2 linked regions of the Bombyx mori genome follow. The protein of the gene in region 1 interacts with the protein of each later gene in a pairwise test. Links are inferred from orthologs where the notes say so. Each region holds a gene or a part of one and is shown on either strand. Other genes may lie near its edges. The genes, in order: rho GTPase-activating protein 100F and neurexin 1.

Evidence for each region.
Region 2: the proteins of rho GTPase-activating protein 100F (region 1) and neurexin 1 interact in a two-hybrid assay, tested with the Drosophila melanogaster proteins (2 studies listed by BioGRID). The link is inferred for Bombyx mori from reciprocal best matches to the Drosophila melanogaster genes RhoGAP100F and Nrx-1.

What each region holds. Positions count from the first base shown.
Region 1 is NC_085128.1:5,376,260-5,380,671, reverse strand, and holds the start of rho GTPase-activating protein 100F, read left to right. Parts: upstream 1-1,514; 5' UTR 1,515-1,629; coding exon 1,630-1,716; intron 1,717-4,412. UniProt on the Drosophila melanogaster protein: GTPase activator for the Rho-type GTPases by converting them to an inactive GDP-bound state. Promotes the anchoring of Liprin-alpha clusters at synapses. Recruits and keeps Nrx-1 levels high in active zones in the presynapse opposite the postsynaptic region.
Region 2 is NC_085131.1:13,180,844-13,184,671, reverse strand, and holds part of neurexin 1, read right to left. Parts: intron 3,060-3,828; coding exon 2,881-3,059; intron 2,590-2,880; coding exon 2,418-2,589; intron 1,907-2,417; coding exon 1,689-1,906; intron 804-1,688; coding exon 621-803; intron 1-620. UniProt on the Drosophila melanogaster protein: Neuronal cell adhesion protein involved in synapse formation, development of synaptic active zones, synaptic regulation and visual function. Plays a role in cell adhesion between the pre- and the postsynaptic cell.

The sequences.
Region 1 (4,412 bases):
ATGCCAAACAAACAATATAGTTTTATAATATAACTAGCCGTACTCGCCCGCTTCGCTGGGCATTTAAAATTAACATTATTATATATTTTCATTATTATTAGGGAGTCCAACACTCATATAAATATTTAGCCTATCCATTAAGTACATATATTTTCTATATGAATACCAAGTTTCAAGTCAAAGGATGCATGGTTCAGTAGTTATTATGGAACATTCGTAAAAACCACTGTAGATTTATATATTAGTATAGATTGGGTTTTTTTTTCCTTAACGAACTTGTATATATTATGTGTCATGATTGAATAATCGTGAACTGTTCGGGCACCAAGAACGTGACCTGATTGGAAGTTACTAAACTGGTATAAAATTTTAGTGATTTAATATTTCGTTAAGCCGAAATGTAAAACCAATGTGGCGGTGTTCATAATTCGAGTTCGGGCGAGACTGTAAATCTCGTGGGTCAGCAGATTTCACATCATGTTACATTGCGTGCCGTGCATAAAATATAGGTTAATGTAATTTTTTCGATGCGATGTCAATTGTTTTCTGTCGGGAATTATTAGTTATACTACTAATCTTAATTTTCGAGCATGGTTTGTTTATTTTATGACGACTAAAATTGTGACTAGGAAAAAGCGATGAGATCGAATTGAAAATATACTTCATAATTTATTATAATTAGGTATATTACTTTTTAGTTTTTTGAATAGTGTTAATAATGAGCAAATAAATATAATATAATAATTTGGTGTTATACAATAGCATGAATGAAATTTGGCTACATTTATAGTCTCTTTAAATAAACTAGAGGTCCCGCAGTAGTCAAAATTCGACTATAATTAAATGGAATTGTAAGTTTGTACACTATTATGATTGTAATTTATATTTCTATAATCACAAATTTCGCCAAGGCTACACTATAAAAAAATATTAATAAAGACAAACAATATTTAATCAATTCTCAATTTGACCACAGACGTCAAGAACAAAAGTTTGACAATAAATAGTATGCATGCGTGCGTGCGTCAAATACATGGTATGTAGTGTGTGTAATGTTTTCTTTATTGATTTAATGTGTCTTTTATGCATTATTAAAAAAAATAGCATTGTGCACTTCTTCTTTAAATTCTCTATAAGTGTGGAAAATTTCATACTCCTCCGTCCGTCGTAAAAAGGGATACAAAGTTTTTGCTTCACGTATTAATTCTCTTTAAATAAATAGTAATCAATTTTAAGGTTATTCAAATGACATGTGCGAGTAATCGTCCAAATAAGGACTTTGCGTTGTAGCGCTGACACGCCACTTGAAAGGGTGATGTCGAAATGCGATTAATAGGTCGTCAGTCGGCGTGTCGGGTGCACCGCGATAGTCTAGCGGCCGGAAGCGGCTCGCACCGAATAATCGCATCGATCGCCAAAAAACTAACCCACATACGCACTGGCAGCGTAGCCGGAATTATTAATCGTGAGGAGTAAGGGGCAAAGAGGGTGGCTTGGAGGGCGCAAGCGCGGGCTCACGGCGGGCACTTCGCGAGGAAGGCTCGCGTGCTCCGGCCGCGTCCTGACGCCCGCGGCGTCGCGATGCCGGCCCCGCGGTCGCTCTTGCAATCGCCGCGTTAACCTGTACCCATGCAGTGGCGAAAACTTACCAGGTTGAAGTCTTCGCCGGGCGGACAGTCGCGCGCTCGGAGGATGCTCTGCTGCGGCCGCAGGAAGGTATGCGATCCGATCGATAGCGCGCGCCGAAACCGTCGCCCCTCCCGGCACGGACGCCGACGTCGTTCGACGACCCCGCTCCCTAACGTCCCTCTCAAACATGCTTCTTTTGGGATGGTACCAAAGTCTTGTTCCCCTTGTATGCACTCATGAAAACCAATACAAGATTTTCACATGAGTTCAATGCAAGAATTTAAAATACATTTTAAGTTATGCTCATTTTCCTTATATCGTTGCGCTTAGAGGATCATTTATTTTTTAATCAGTCACACGAAATAACTTTGGAACCATTTATATAAATTTATTATTTAGAGTACAATACAATTTATATAATAGTATAATATAGTATTTTCTGAGATGATTAGGAAAATTCTTAGGTTAAGTTAACCTCAAAGACAAATCCTTAACTTTAGTAAGCTGTATACTGACGGGAATAGAGCTTGTTACTAGTCCCAAGATCGATTTATGTGGGAAGCTATTGTTAATAAGCAAGAAGCGCCCTCCAATTACATCAGTGGCTTTTTAATTTAGAATTATGGTGTCTTCAGCTCGCACTTGTGCAACATTCATTTCCGCTCCCCTCTTCCTCCTTTCTACAATTTAATTAGATTATAATTAGGCAAGATTTTCCTTAATGTTCAAGTTTCAATTAAATTTTCTTCATTAAGCCGTTTAAGTGCCGTGTTATAATGTGGGGTAACGAAGGCGACCCTCGCAGCATCTTACGCCATCTTGGTTTAAGATGTTATATTATAGGTAGACGCCTTGTCTGTGTCACCTAGAACTTATATCTTATATGCATTTTTATAGTAAAATACTACATGATCCGTCTTAGTAGAGTTTAAATACTAGAAGATGTATTTTTGTGTAGGGTGATTTAAATCATAGCCAATCTGGTATGAGAATTTGGTACAATAAGTAACTGAGATTATTTCTTTTATCGCATTGAAAATCGAATATATGGACATCTTAACGAATACATGGACTTACATCGTAATTTCTTTGAATTGGCTGGGTTGACTAACTCATGCTCTGCTCGGTTTGAAATCACAACGCAAACCCAGCCCCCCGCCATGACCTATGAGTTCAGAGTCTCAGTTTTAATAAATATTATGTTTTGTTGTGTTTCCTACTATCCAAGTCAAAACTTTGAATGTTTTAAGATACACACAAACATATAAAGATATCTATTCGTATGAATTCAAACTACGCTGTACTAAAATACGTTCTCATCATCTTTTCCGAAGAGCTCCATTTTAGTTGGTACATTTGTTCCTCAAGCGATTATTTTTTTCTTTTATCGGACTCATCTCCTTGAGTATAATTTTATAAATTCACTCAATAAATCAATTTTATAAATATATAAAACTAATTATTTTATTCATGAATAAAAAAAACAGTATTTTCAAATGAAATTATACTTCCCTTCTATAGGACGTAGAACTCTGTTTCAAAATGAAATTCTGTAAATGAATTCTCTATAATACGTATTGATTTTATGATCTTTAAATACTCGATTAAATATGACATAGCTTTTATGATGTAGCACGGTTGTTGTTAAAACGTTAAGTGTAGTGAATTTTTTTTTAATTGCTTAGATGGTTGGACGAGCTTACAGCCCACCTGGTGTTAAGTGGTTACTGGAGCCCATAGACATCTACAACGTAAATTCGCCACCCACCTTGAGATATAAGTTCTAAGGTCTCAGTATAGTTACGACGGCTGCCCCGCCTTTCAAACCGAAACGCATTCCTGCTTCACGGCAGAAATAGACAGGGTGGTGGTACCTATCCGTGCAGACTCACAAGACGTCCTACCATCAGTAAAATAATCATGCATCTCAGTGTGAAGAGTAGAAGTGGGTTTTTTGGAAGACTTCGATCTTCATATGTCAAGGTAGCTGGTGAAGTTTTAAGCTTGCCAAAATGGCCGTGATTTCCTCTGCCGCTGTGCACTTAAGACAGTTTCCTTCATTGATCACACACATTCATACATCTGAAAAACATTCGGTAGTACTATTTATTATTACGTGTACTGACTTTAATTAGCGAGTAGTAATTACAAAAAAAAAACCACTTGTTCGCTTTCAAATGTAAATTATAATTTAGATTTGATTGTCACGCTAGTTATAGTGACAGAATACAAGCAAACTTAATTAACTGTAAAAAAATCAGATTAAACAAGCGTGCAATTAGTTATTTTGCGTTACAGATTAAAATAAATCCAATCAATCATTATATTCCGTTGGAATTGTTACTGTTAGAATTTATTTAAGAAGCTTCTGGGTCTTTATTGTTAGGCGATGACTTTTGGCAATGGACACGTGGAAAGTACCAGCCTGATAAACTCTCAAATTCATTTATAGGTAGCGGCTTGGATGTGTGGATGAGCTCACAGCCCACCTGGTGTTAAGTGGTTACCGGAGCCCATAGACATCTATAACGTAAATGCCGCCGCCCACCTTGAGATATGAGTTCTAAGATCTCAGTATAGTTACAACGGCTGCCCCACCCTTCAAACCGAAACGCATTACAGCTTCACGGCCGAAATAGGCAGGGTGGTGGTATCTACCCTTACGGAGTCACAAGAGGTCCTACCACCTGTGAAATCTGATATTAATTTGATATTAAGCTACCAGACATAATTTGAAACGGTTGATCAATGATTAATAGTATCTCGTTAAACGAAGCTTACAG
Region 2 (3,828 bases), on another chromosome or scaffold:
TCAACTTGTGCCGGATACATACGTCGGACACGTCAATCGGTGTGGCTTTCATGAGGTAGGGATGGGGATGGATATAGGCCACTCCGTGAGCTTTAGCCCCCGTTGTGCAAAGGCTCTGGTATATTAATGCGGTGGAGCACCCAAATAGCGACTAGAAACTTCTAAATTTGACCATTTTAATTCTGTTTTCACGTTTAATACCGAATGTATTTCGAAAAAGAAGACAAGCGATTTTTTATATGTCTCCCACTGGACTGACGAAGCTAACGGCCGGCTAGTATGTTGTTATCGCCGGAACTAATAGACATCTCATCGCCGACTTTGGCACACGGGACCGAATTCTTGATTGCTTTACAAAAAAGGCTTCGGAACCGCATGGATTGCTGCCGGACAGATCTGAGTGGATAATAGTACTTATTTGTGCTGGCTTATACCTCCATCTGTAAGAACCAGACTGCCCATTCTTCGGCGGAACCTTTAGCCACATTTGCCACACCCATAGCAACGATTAATATGTTGCTATTTCGGCAACCGTGTGGTTGTGCCAATAGTGTTGTATTTTTCCTTAGACAGTAGAGGCATACGATGTATTAACGTCACTGAATATTATCAAAACAAACCTTATGCGTCTTCGAAGGTGGTCTCCTAGTCGAAGGTACATAAACGGGAGTGATGAGGTCATCACCAGACCCTGCGTCGGGGAGTACGCACGCGTCTTCGTCATCATCTCGGCATCCTGAGCCTGCTCCCGAGTATACGAGCTCGTCCAGTACTCCCGGCCCTCCGTAGCCCGATGGCGGGGTCTGATAGAACAAAAGAATTTCATTTATTTATTGTATTGTATCATTTCACTATAATTGTCTGTGTCATGGAAGATACGGGGTAGGTGACCCTGATCCCGTCCAGCTATTACTGGGTGCTCTTCAACATCCACAGAATTATGATGTTATTTCTATCTCAGTGTCTGTTTAAAACAATGTGCAAATGATTGGTTCTTAGGCAATTCGAAATTGTATTATACCAATGTAATTTTCATTAAGTTTTATTCTTATAACGAAACGGCTCCAACGATTTTTATAAAATTTAGTATACAGGGGATTTCGGGGGCGATAAATCGATCTAGCTACGATTTATTTTCAGAAAATGTTGTTTTATTCGTGTTTTCAATCATCAACTTTATTGATAATCAACTTTATCGACATCTATGGGCGAATAATAATACTATTTTTCATAATTGAGAGCAACTAACTGCTTTAAAGACACAATAACACTAAAGCTATTTCAGCAGATGGCGTTGTTAAGCCACCAGAAGCCAATGAATGTTTGGTTTAAGATTAGATCAAGAAAATGAATGGTTTATTTATATTATTTGTGTCTTTTGAACTCACGTGTTCACATAAAAATGCCTAAACGATCTTGGAATATTTCATCATTTTATCAATATGTAATTCGTATTTAAATATACTTTCTAAAAAACACAATTTATAAAAAAAAAAAAAAACAGGTCGTCGTCTAGTTATTATAAATAGTTGTAAGAACAATAAAAGAAAAACATAAGGTCATGCTCTTTTTTTTATTGCTTAAATGGAACGAGCTCACCACTAGTGTTAAGTGGTTACCGTAGTCCATAAACATGTAATGTACAAAGTAAATGCCACCAGCCACCTTGGGATATGATATGTTCGTACCTGTTGCATCCTGTTGATGTCCCTGTCGAGCGGCGCGTGCGCACGTCTGACGTCACCGCGCACGGACACGGCGGGGTCGCCGGCCGCCGCCAGCTCCAGCACGCGCACGCCGTCCACCACCAGCCCCGCCAGCACGCCGCTGTACGGGCGCGCCGAGCCGCCGCCGCCGCCCACCGTCACCACCGACATGCTGTTGAAGATCGTCGACTGCTGACCACCTAGAAACAGAACGGTAACCTTCATTTTATTGCAGGGTCCATTGGATCTCTAAAGGGAATGCCGTCACCCTCCTTGAGACATGACCAACCGTCAATTGTATTGTAAATCGCTGATCCCATAGTTCCAACAAGATGTCACGACTGCTTCAAAACCCTTGAATTATTTTAAGCTATTGTATAGGTTTTATACCGAATCAAGAAATTCCGTCACGAAAATAAAACCTAGCACCCCCACTCCGCCTACCATGTAGCTCGCGTTCAACACATTCACACGTTGCACTTGTGTACTGTTTGTAAATAAGCGCACGGCGTGACGTCGCACTGCATGCGCATCATCTAAAGTCTGCCCATCTCTCTCTCGCGCGGTCTAGCTTATGAGTGTGAAGGGGACAGTTAATGTTTTGCTTTCCGCGGCAGTCCCCGAGTGCCACACGTGTTTTTTATTACAAACCTTAGCGGTCTGACTTTTTACGAAAAGTTCCCTAAAGTCAACTTTAAAAAATCTCTCCACCTTGCGGATGCCGAATGATGACGTCATAGTTGTCGAGCTGGAGCGACGATCGGCTGCCGTTCCTCGTAAACCTCGCCACGTGGTACGCTCCATCATCGACCCTGGTCGTCTCGTCGCCGAGCGGATGGTCACCAGCACCAACGTTGTACACCATGAAAAGGTTTCCGCGAATCTGAAGAGCAGTTGTTGTTTTTAGTATTCAAATTCAAATTCAAAATCATTTATTTCAACTTAGATGTCAGCATAACACACTTGTTGCATGTCAAAATATAAATAACAATATTAACTGAGTTTATTTTTGGTTATTTCTCAAATATTTTCTTTTTTTTTAAATAAGTAAAAATATTTACAATAAACGAAAAAACAAATAAAAAAATACAATTTTTTTTTATTAAGGCCACATTAAGGCCTTTTTAATCGAACGGAATTATGACTTGGTTGAAGATTTTCCGGCCTCACTTACAATCTCCATCTGCATATAATCTTGAGTGTTTGAAGACTCGATTTTCAGTAACACAGCATCTGCCTTGCTGGTGACGAAGCCTAACGCCACTTTGTCCATCTCCGTATCCGCTACTGAGCTGGGCGGGAACGTGTAGGTTATTGTCCCTCTGCTTGGTCCGAATTCGTAAGCTATTGATTCTGGGTACACACAATACAAATAAGTTACAAAAGTATATAATCGTATTTCGAAATATTTTACGAACGCTCCAAACTGTAAATGACGCAATGATATGGGGTCGCAGGCTCACAAGAAACATCATAATCGCCAACCTTCAAACATAAGGTTAAAATTTCAATTGCCATTTTTTATAGACACTCATCTGACATTGGATGGCTATCGTCGCGCTAGACATCATCAATGCCGGAGGTAGGAACAAGACACTTTCTACTGTTGTGGAACGTCTGCAAGCTTCCTTTGAAGAAAAGCCAGACAGTACGTGGCAGAATAGATCTGTGGAAACGCACTGTGAGCACTGGTCCGGTGGCGAGCGATACGGTGATAAAAACGAAATGATGATATTCTCTCAAACAATTCGACAGAGCACTCTTCATGGACCATACGGTACAAGACCGAGGACTGAAGTCTCTCCGTAGACATAAAGGTTCAAAACAAAATTTTACAAGTTTTACTTATTGCTTATTGTTAATAATGGGCCAATCTCTGGGATTTGGGATCAAAGTCTATCCGTGGACTCGTTCGAACTTTTCGAAACAAATTTTTACAGGTTTTCTTATAGCTCGATTGAAAGTTAATAGCGAACCAGTGAGATTTAGGCTTTAGGATTTGATTACCAAAATTACTTCCCAAATGTTTGTTTTGAATTGCTGCTGTTGCTGTTGATTAGTCCACATCCGAGCAAAATATTAAGAGAACACTAGGATTAACACTAGGGCACGTACCGTTGTA